3 linked regions of the Drosophila melanogaster genome follow. The protein of the gene in region 1 interacts with the protein of each later gene in a pairwise test. Each region holds a gene or a part of one and is shown in the gene's direction. Other genes may lie near its edges.

Region 1 (3,324 bases):
GAACATGAATACAACAGCTGTTGCTCTTCCGTTACCACGATGGAAGCCGTGAATCAAGTTTCAATCGTAACGCCAAGAAGAGCATTTTATCTGGCAACGCAGGAGATCCCTGCAAGCATCGGACAACCAGAAGAGTAGCCAGTTGCTTGCACGCTGCCAAGTAAGATTTAGAAAGCATCCGAAAAGTAGGAATCCAATAAAAAGTTATAACTTTGCAATTAAAACATCACAACTTCACGTTTTGTTAAATAAATACGTTGAAGTTGAATAGACGCACAGTTAAGTGACCTAACATTCTTCGGATTAAGTTCTTCATAGGTGTACAAAGTTACCCACCTTCTGGATGTCAGCCCAGATCTTCAGGCGACGCAGGAAGATGACAGCCTGCTTGGTCTTCTGGACCTTTTGCACCTCATCGGACACGACCAGCGGGAACTCGGAGACGCCGTCGATGACATGTCCCTTGGACTGGACCAGAGCTGGCACTCCTGAGGCGGCGATGGCCGACACCAGGGCGTAGCGACGCTGGTTGACATTCACCTTGCGGTGCCAGCGACGGAACGTCTTGGTGGGGGCGAACATGCGTCCACCACGGCACATGTTGCCGAAGGCTCCCTGGCCGGAACGGTGGGTACCGCCACCACGCACACGGGGAATACGGGCCACAGCACGTCCGGTACCCCAGGACTCGGCGGAGGTCTGGTGACCTGCAAACAGGAATTCAAACGGGTTAGATTCACACAAAAGAGGAGTTATAAACAGTTTACTCACCAGCCAGCTCGCTGACGGCGTAGGCCTGTCGGTTGTTGCGGCGGAGCAGCTGGTGAACCTCGTTGACCACATCCGGACGAATGGGCGCCTTGAACACTGCCGGCAGGCATATGTTCTTGTCCTTGGCTGGCTCGTTCTTTTCCGTGTACACGGAGACCAATGGCCTGGCGTTGCCTAAGCTCTGAAAGTGCACATGGTATTCGGGTTTAGTTCACTGATCATTTCACATCACAAAACACAACAAGCGCATTTCGCCATCGCCGCACATTCCAAACACGTGGAGGTTAGGGCGACACTTTTGCACTATTTTCGCATCGTTTCGTGTGTTAAATCCAATGTTTTGGGGTCTGCTGCGGTTGCGGAGTGCCTTGTGCTTCGTTTCTCACCATTTTCGTTGATTTTCAAACCCAATGAAAGGTGCTAAATATTCTGCAAACGCAGATACCGTCCTCTTTTTATTAAGAAGAACGAAGAAAGAAAGAGAGCTGCCGGAAATGGCTGCCAATCGCGTTCCACGGCGCATGGTTGCATTTGCTAACAGCAGCAAGTGTCAAGCTTACAGGGCTAATTGGACGCTGTCCAACACTTTTAGCTTTTTTTTTCTCTCGTAAGAGAAGTTTTTGTTTATATTCTCGCAATTAAACTATAATATTACAAATCTAAATTCGAATTTATCAATAACGTATTTTAGTTAAATTTATAAATTAGCAATGCGTTTTTAAAGAACAAGAATACAATTGTTGTAATTTAACCGCATAATAAATAATCAAACAATACATAATACATACATACGTTAAAAACTAACTTACACAACTTTTATTGGTGAGAAAACAACGCTTATTTTTTGCTTAAATGTTCATGTTAAAACAAAAAAATTTACTAAATAGATATATGGCTATTAATTAACAGCATTCTGTTATCCGTTTATATAGCTATAAAGTAGCTAAATGTGCCACACTAGTGCGAAGCGGCAATTGTATTTGTTTACTTGCGGAAAAAACAGTCTCAAAACACAGAAATTAATAATAAATAATGGCTGGCGAAGTTATTGTGGATGCTCTGCCCTACATAGATCACGGCTATGACGATGTGGGCGTCCGGGAATCGGTAAATATACGGATATCCATGTTGCACGTTGAAACTGACTTTGAAATGGCATCTTCTTCTTCCAAAGGCTCTCGCCATGGTGGAGGAGGAATGCCGGCGCTATAGGCCCACAAAAAATTACCTTGACCATCTGCCACTGCCCGCCAGCTCGCCCTTTGAGACTCCGCTGATGGCCAACGAGTTCGAGCGCATCCAGAACCGCCTGCCCATGGAGACGCTCTCCATGAAGCGCTACGAACTGCCACCGCCGCCATCGGGCAAATTGTCGGAGGTGTCCGCCTGGCAGGAGGCCATTGAGAACTCGATGGCCCAGCTGGAGCACCAGTGGGTGCGCTCTCTCAACCTGGAGCTAATGCTCGACTACGGCACGGAGGCATGGAAGTCCTACCTGGAGGTCTTCACCGCCATGCAGGCGAAGGCGCAGCTCCAGCTGCAGCAGCTGAAGAAGGACATTCAAGATGTCAACTGGCAGCGCAAGCAGGCGCAAACGCAGGCCGGCGAGCGACTGCGCTCCCTGGAAGCCCATTGGGTGCTGCTGGTCTCCAAGAACTACGAGATCGAGACGGAGTGCGTCGAGCTGGAAAAGATCGTCCATGCCGCCCGTCAGCAGCTGCGGAAGATTACCCCGCCGCCCAGCGCCAATGACACGGCTCCAACGCCGGAATACACGAATGGTTTCGACCAGAACGATTTGGCCGAGAGCAACGGCAGTAGCTCCAGCAATCCAGATCCAAGCCAACCTGGCGATGATGGAACAGATGCCGATGGTGACAGCAAGGAGGAGGACAAATCCGAGGCACAGGAGGAATCTTCCAATGGATCAACGTAGATTTAGTACACTGAGCGAAAGCATGAAGCAAGTTAAAGAAAAACTTACGACTGTAACTAAATATAAAGGATATTAAAAAAAACAGCTAAAAATCTAAGATTTATCTTTATTTTTCAAAATCGTTGCAGAGAAATAGTGATCCTCTTCTTTTTGCTCTTATATCAGGGGAATGGACAGCTAGTAAATTTTAAATAATTTCAAGATTAAATATTTTATTATTTCAAATTGGTAAGGTAGTGTTTTGTGCTGTAAATTTTTTATACGAAGAATGGCATTTTTCAATGTTTCTGCTACGGTCACACCAATTGGATGTTTACAAATTTCGTTTACGAATTAAATAAAAAAAAATATAAATAAATACAGAAACAACTAAGGATGGCCCACTACAAAGGTGCCGCCAGCGAGGCGGGCCGTGCAGCCCAGCTGATGAAGAAGCGGGAGATCCAGCAGCAGGAGATCGAGTTTCGCAAGAAGAAGATCGAGGAGGAGCTCAAGCTGGACAAGATTGAGAACAAGTTTGCCACCCACTACGATGCCGTGGAGCAGCAGCTCAAGTCCTCGACCATTGGTCTGGTCACCCTCGACGAGATGAAGGCCAAGCAGGAGGATATAGTGCG
Region 2 (3,755 bases), on another chromosome or scaffold:
GATCTTCCCAGGATCGAGCATTCGCTTGAGCGGCTTGTCCTGATCCTTGAAGGCGGGCGACGGCTTGCCCGTCATCGAATGGGTGGCCAGAGTTTCCCGGTCGAAGATCGTGACCAGTAGTTTCCGGGTGGCCAGCGAGCACACCGACCAGTTAATATTCTCGAAGACACTGGCGGGCACACAGGTGTTGTTCGGGCCAATGGACACCATCACGTTGTCCATGTTTTGCTGTTGGCCCTTGTTGAGATCGGTAAAACTGCCATTACGGGCTTTGACTTGGGGTTTGGCTGGTAGTTTTATGTTCTGCCGCGGGATTTCTTCCTGCAACTGAATCTCCTGCAGCTTGCGGCGTTTGATGAACTGTAGTGGAGTGTCGGCGGACTCGGAGGAACCATCCCTCTTTATGCCGTTGCTAATCCTGTACTGCTGCTGGGAATTGTGATGATTGCTCTGCTGATGATTCTCGTCGCCCAGGCAAATCTCCAGGCGATCTGAGTCCGCAGAGGTGCTCAGGCTGTTCAGACTCTCCGCCGCCAGGCGAATCTCAATGGCATCCGCATCGTCGGGTGCCGAGATGATCTTGTAGTCCAGAATCTGGGGATTCTGCGCGGGCGCACATATCTCTGAACTCGGTGGCGTGAGAATGTGGTGGCTCTGGACCGCGGGCGGCGTGGGTGGTCTACTTTCTGCCAGCAGGGAGGATGCCTGTTGCATCCTGGCGGAGGTGGCATGAATCTGGGATAGCAGATCCTTGTGCTGCTGCAGTTTGGCCTCCAAGTAGCGGACCTTATCGCGGAGCGCTCTGTTCTCGACCTCCACTTGCGGGTCCGGCGCGGAGATGCTGCGAAGCACCTCGAAGTCCACGCTAGAAGTCTGCGACCAGGCATTCAGAAACAAGGGCTTGCTCCTCCTTGCCTGCGAATCCTCGCGTGCAGTGGCGCTGACTATGCGCTGATATTGCTGCAATTCGATGGGAAAAACTCTTGATCAACATATTCGGTGGAGATATCCTGCAGCTACTCACGTTTTCCATGTTCAATCCTCAAAGGATCTGCGTCAACTGAAAATTGGCGGCAGAATGCGAAAAGTGGTTGCATTCCTACCTGCACGCACACATGCGCACGCATATACGGGGAAGAGAGCGCCTGCCTCTGCGTGTGTGTGAGTGTGCCCTCCAGGTAGCTGATATCCTATTCCTGTTTCTGTTTCAGGACCCCGTCTATTTCCCAACTAGTCCAAGTCCAGCTGTCTTTTCCTTTCTTCGCATGGGATTTGTTGTTTGCGCGGGAACCAGTATATGTATTATAATTATTATTATAAATAATTGCGAATAAAGCTGCTTTTGCTCTCTCTTTCATCGACAGGGTTGACACCTAGGGCTATGAAATAAAACTATCGGTTGCAAGTCACGAGGGTTTTAAATTTTTAAGTTCTCTCTATAAAGTTTTTTTCTTTTTCTTTTCAGAATATCCGTTTGGTTAAAATTCTGTATTCTGCACTTTGGCGAAGGTCAGAAAATAAGAGAAAAAAGTAAATGTAACAAAGGAATGTGTAAGAATTCTTTCCACAGTTCCAAGAACCAAAAAGGACAATAGTTGGGTTTTGTAAAAAAAAAACCGGTTTTCAGGACCCGGACTGCATATTATCCATTGCAATTTGAATGTATTGGGAACCCTTCCAATACATGAGATCCTTTTGGAATATAATTCTTCGCTCAAATGCTCTCTGATCGGAAAAAAAACACCCTTAAATTCCATTTTAGAAGGGATACCTATTTAAGGGTAAGTCTACTGGAATTCCGTCCATTGTAATGCATTTTGAATGAGCGGAAAATACACTCAAGGATATATGGTACTGCCTTTAAAATTTCAAGGCATAACTTTTTGAGTTAAAACATGTACGAGTATTTCGTATTTAAGACTAGCCTTCAGAAGCAAACGGTTTTTTAATCATGTTACTCCTATATTTCCATAAGAATTTAAGTAAAGCCTAAAGGCGAATATTTTAGACTCTACTTCCAATTATCGAATGCAAATTATCTTTATTCGGCGACCTTGGCAGCCCTGCAAGATTAAGATTTTCGGATTCTCAGGTATCTGGCGCAAGGAACAATAACTGTTAAGCCGGGCCATAAAACACCAATTTTTCCAACGAATAATACGCAAAATAAGCCAAGAAAGCCGACGCAGCTGCGTTTTTTGCCAGAAATAAACCTTTTTGCCTTTACCTGTTGCCAAAATCCGCGTGCAAATGGCCGGCGGATTTCGACCGTACGATCAGGACTCGTGTCCTAACCTTACAAATAGCGAGGCTCCGGAATTCAGCATGTCAGTCGTTTGCAAAACGGAGCCGCACTACTTTCATCCGCAGACTGCTATCCTGCCCAGCGTCCAGTACTCCCACCCATATCACCACTATCTGAGCCAGTTCGCCCCGAACTTCGTGCCCTACTACTACCGCCTGCTCTCGCGGCCCATAATGAAGCAGGAGGAGATGGACATCGAGAACTACATCAACTACGAGGTGGCCGCCCAGCAGACCATGATGCGCCAGCGGACCCTGAAGCCCCTGGGTCAGCTGCAGATCCAAATGCCGCCTCCCATAATAGTCAACCAGCCAGTTAAGCCAGTTCCCGTTAAGGCAGTGCCAGTCCGCCGAAGCTCTCCGCCCAAGCGACGCGTCATCAATGCCCAGTTGGTAGCGGTAGCCACCGCTTCCGGGGGCATTAAGAACATCGAACCGCGGGTGGAGCCACTGCCTCGCCTGGAGGAATCCTTTAAGCAGCAAGTGGCCAAAATCCAGAAGAGTCAGCACCACTACGAACAACTCTTTGGTCGTCTCACTTCCATGCTAAAGACCCTGAATCAGCGGTACGACAACGATGCCGAGGATGTGCCCGCGCCGCCCTCCAAGAGACCGCGCCACATGTCCACCAGTTCGTCGGAATCGCACATCCCAGATACTGCCTCTGAAAAGGACGAGAAAGACACTCTTGTGCAGTACCCGCACCGAGTGCAAAAGGAGGACGGCAGTGCGGTGTACGTACTGGGACCCAATGGCACCCAGATCACAGCCCATCAGTACGGTGAGGTCTTCTGGACCAACGCCCCGGTGGCCACGAGGTGTCTTCTTTGCGTTGTCTTCAGCAGCGATGAGTTGGCTACCCACACGCTGACCGGGAAGCCGTCGCCCGCATTCTACGGCCGCGAAAGACCCCCAAAGCTCCAGTTAGACCAACGCAAGGTGGACGACATCGTGGTCTGTGTGAGAAACCGGACGGGCGGCAAGGAACGGGTGATTCGGGCCACCATCACTACCAAGTGTGCGGATACCGCCAAGAAGTACAAGAGGCGGGCCAAGAAGGCCCAGAAGGTCGCCATCAAGGAGGAGTATTAGCATGGAGTGGACAACTATTGGCTAGATATAATCCAGCTATGATCAAGCTCTTCTCAACGACGCGCCACGAAAGGCGCAGAAAGACATTGTATATATTCGTAGTAGGTCCTGCTAAAAGTAAAAGTAAAGTTATATAATCTAGCTGTGATTGAATAAAGACAAGATGAAACCAATTCAAAACCTGAATAATATGGGAATAGGCAGAGTTACTTCACTTTTCTGTCCATTGCTAAAATTGTTCTTCGAGTGCAGAGTCAACAAAATTGGGTTTATTAACTCGATCGGGTGTTCTCATCAATCGCAGCCATTTGCACTTGAATTTAAAAATAATTATAAGCTATGCCACACTACTGCTTCTT
Region 3 (3,701 bases), on another chromosome or scaffold:
GTCAGTTGCTTTGGCCAACTTCTTGGTGTTGTTGGCCAAAGCTAATTAGCTTAGCGCGTTTAAATCGCTCGAGCATCGCTCATTTCTAAGGCATCTCTCTATATACTGCTTTATATAAACGGATATGTAACCCCGGAGAAATGGCTGTCGATAAATAAAATAAAAGGCGGGGAGGAGTGCCTCGTACAAGCCACAAAATACGAAAACAACAACTGGGATAACCCTTTTTTTTCCAACAGACAATTCCAAGCCATTACACTGAGAAATGTGACACAATTTGAATAACATTTAAAATATAAAATTGAGCATCAATTCGGTTTGGATTCCGGCTTTTTTCATCCTTGTCTTTATTTTGCTGATGGTTTTTGGACATACCAACCCAACTCCTTGAAGTGATGGATTTGCTGCCTGAAGAGAACATTTTCTTGGGCCTTTTCTTTCCATTCCCCATTTTTCCGGGCCGTCTCTTCGTTGTTGTTGTTTGTTTGTTTTATTTTTTGTTCCCCCGCCACGACTTTCTGTTCTTTTTCGTTTTTACTTTGTCTAAATTGCGTAAATTATTGGCATATGTTGTCTTCGAAGTCCTGTCGAGAGAGGCAATGAAACATTTTTAACCCTTTTCCTTGGAAATTGACAGGGGCGTAGGTTGGTGTGCGCTGCGAAAATGTCGATGTCGGCCTGGTATTTTTTATTCCATTTTGCCGTCTTTCTCTGGGATTCTCGGGTGCTCTCCCTAGTTTTTGATATCCCCCATAACCCCACATTTTGGGGCGCCTCTGTCTGGCTGCCAGTTGGCTGTCATTTATTCCCACTTCGGGTTCAGTTTCGGCTTCCACCAATTTTCTCCGGCTCCTCTCTCCCACTTTCTTTCTGTTTTTTTTTTTTTTTTATCATTTATGGCCGTCGTTCTTTGGCTTTTTATGTGCGCTATTTCGCGATGTAGAACAATAGCCGCCCGCCAGCTCATTCAACCCACTGCCAAAGTCGTGGATCCAGGATCCCAGGATCCTGAGTCCGGAATCCTACTGTTCCTGCTCCAGCTCCAACTTCATCTTCGTGTGCTTTTGTTACAGCAAAACGGGCAGGGTGAGCCACTACTGTCCTTCACTATCGCTCGTTGCGCCCTCGCGCTACTTTATTGTCTTGCCAAAAGAAATAGACTTTTAATATACTTGGCCATTCAGAGCACAAAACATGGAGCGAAGCTCCCAGGGAAAACTCCTTTTTCCCTCCTCAAAAAAAAAAGCAAAAAAAAACTGCCAGCAAACACACGGAAAATAGAGGAAAAAAGGACAAGTGTCTGGGAGTGTGGAAATATTAGGCGATTTTGCCAGTTCATTGACTTGCCACAACAATAGTTTGAAGTTTGTCTGCCAAAATATGAGATTCCGAATAAAATGGAACCAATCCCGGGATGGGGGATTCGAAGGCGAGCGACGGAAAACAGAAGCTAAAAAGTTTTTCACTTTAATAGTTCGACCAATTTGAGAGTGGCTAAAAGGCCAGGATAATGGCAGCACAGGGAGTGCAAATAAAATCGTACTCCGATTTATTTGTACTTTTTGTTGGGCGCAATTTCTGACTTGATCAATTTGAAACTTGGCCATTTTATAGCCATCATTTCGGATCAAAATAAAGCCATGTTAAATCTATTTTTTTTTTTTTTTTCAATATCTAAAACATGTTGGCCTTGATTTTAGTTGACTAGATTTCGAACATCCATCAGTTGATTATCTCAGTTTAAACACGACACAGTAACTGTGCACTACACAATAGAACAAAATTCCAAAATATTGTTGTTTCAGGTCTAGGAAATTCAAAATTTTTTTTTTGTTTTTGATAGAGCGACTGAGGATTCCCTACTCTAAGACAATTCCCAAGAGAACCTCAAGCTCAAATCTCAAATAAAATATGGCCGAGAAGAAATCCCAGGACAATAAGGATAATGTCAGTGGATCCCAGAATCGAACGAGCCGCGTGGAAGCCCATGTTCGCCAGCAAGAAGAGAATAATGCTATATTTGCTCGACTTTTTGCCAGTTTGGACGCTGAACATCGTAAATTGAAAGAACTTGAAGAGCGCAGATCGCAGCTAATTGAAGAAATGAAAAATTTGAGGTCTCTACTCTTTGTTGAGAATAAAAAACTTCGACAGACCGTTGCTCCCATTTCGGGTGGAAATCCATTACCAATTCCAGCTACCAGTGCTAGTTCCGTCGTGAAAAAGAGTTCGGAGAAACCTTCTGGCTCTAGGACCTCTCCCATTATCAAGTCAGCACGTTTGGAACGACGACCTTCCAATAAATCGGTTACAATTGCCGATCCACCAACACAAAGTTTAACGACTAGCGAAAGACCCAAGGCAAGTAGTTCACAAGGTTTAAAGAAAAAGGAAAATCGACGAAGTCTCGTTGTTCCAGCAAGGAAAAATAAACATAGAATAACTTTGGGTAATAAGCGGTTTCAGCTATTTCACATTCTAATTTAATCCAATCAAAACGGTATTAAATTTCTAGATAACTTATCAAATACCAGAGAGGACATGTTAGACGAGTTCGATGAATCCGCATTGGCAACTTCTGTGGGCTCCAATTTGCAGACTTTGGAGCAGCGAAGATCCAATTTAGAGGAACGAGAAGATATAGACGAAGTTTTGGTCTCGCTGTCAGCATTATTCACCTTTGTGGATTCTCAATTTACAGACCAGGCCATTTTACCAAGTACACCTGATACCGATGATTCCAAAACTGACGAAGTGATTCCCAATACCGATCAAGATCCAAGTTTTTATCTCCCAAGTGCCGATTCTTTGTTCAAGGACATACTGGGACCGAATTCGCCATCCTTAGAGGTGAAATTGCCAGAAGAATCACTTCAATTGCAACCAGCTGACATTGTCGAATGTTCAGCGAATGTGGCGGAAATCGTTGAAAATGAACACGAAACGGAAACGGAAACGGAAACTGATTAAAAGCCCCCTTTAAGGGTTTTTAAGACTAATCTAATGGTTAATTAAACTTGGAAGTGCAGCTATTTACTAGATCTGGCAACAATATTAAACAAATACACACATTGAAGCCAACTAGCCAGCCTTTTCATTGGGGGATCCACTGAAAGGCTTTTAGAAAACTCTGTTTAAAAATCCTATAGTTTTAAACTTTGAATAGCTGAATGGCTCACCGCATGACTACTTAGTTTTTCAGGGATCAAAGGCAAACAATTTTCCTGTTGATGCTATCAAAAATGTGGCAACATATTTACGTACAAGTGGAGGGCCTATTATTTTTGGGGTGGAAGAAAATCTGCACATGCTCATGGCATATTCGGTCGACTTTTCTCAGCATATCTTGTGCTTTATTTTTTGTTCGTTTTTTTTTTTGTTTCTTATTCAATTTGCCGACCCTTGGTCCCCTGTCTCAAATTGAAGTCCTGGGGGTCGAGGACACTCTCCACATCCATTTCAAAACAAATTAGTTGCCAACTGTCCGAAACAAATGTTGTCTAACGAGCAAAATCGAGTTGTCTCCCATTGCTATAAGAATACACATGAACTAGGTAGGTATACCATATACACATAAATATATATAATACAATATATATTTGGTATATATGTATGTACGGACATGTCCACTTCTTGGGAGTTTTGTGCGACTTGTTTGTCCAACGAAATGATATGAAAAGCTCGGCATTTCAATCATAATG

What was found.
Region 2: the proteins of BCAS2 (region 1) and Elba2 interact in a two-hybrid assay, tested with the Drosophila melanogaster proteins (one large-scale study listed by BioGRID).
Region 3: the proteins of BCAS2 (region 1) and CG32655 interact in a two-hybrid assay, tested with the Drosophila melanogaster proteins (one large-scale study listed by BioGRID).

The regions. Positions count from the first base shown.
Region 1 is NT_033777.3:27,920,753-27,924,076, reverse strand, and holds BCAS2 (BCAS2), read left to right. Parts: upstream 1-1,720; 5' UTR 1,721-1,803; coding exon 1,804-1,878; intron 1,879-1,945; coding exon 1,946-2,707; 3' UTR 2,708-2,794; downstream 2,795-3,324. Other genes in the region: RpL4 (ribosomal protein L4), read right to left, coding at 337-707, 772-952, 1,158-1,160; CG12259 (uncharacterized protein), read left to right, coding at 3,083-3,324.
Region 2 is NT_033779.5:2,575,613-2,579,367, forward strand, and holds Elba2 (early boundary activity 2), read left to right. Parts: upstream 1-2,074; 5' UTR 2,075-2,250; coding exon 2,251-3,396; 3' UTR 3,397-3,567; downstream 3,568-3,755. Other genes in the region: insv (insensitive), read right to left, coding at 1-960, 1,025-1,033; ND-B17.2 (NADH dehydrogenase (ubiquinone) B17.2 subunit), read right to left, coding at 3,744-3,755. UniProt on the Drosophila melanogaster protein: The heterotrimeric Elba complex is required for chromatin domain boundary function during early embryogenesis.
Region 3 is NC_004354.4:12,233,940-12,237,640, reverse strand, and holds CG32655 (uncharacterized protein), read left to right. Parts: upstream 1-1,763; 5' UTR 1,764-1,911; coding exon 1,912-2,449; intron 2,450-2,515; coding exon 2,516-2,970; 3' UTR 2,971-3,079; downstream 3,080-3,701.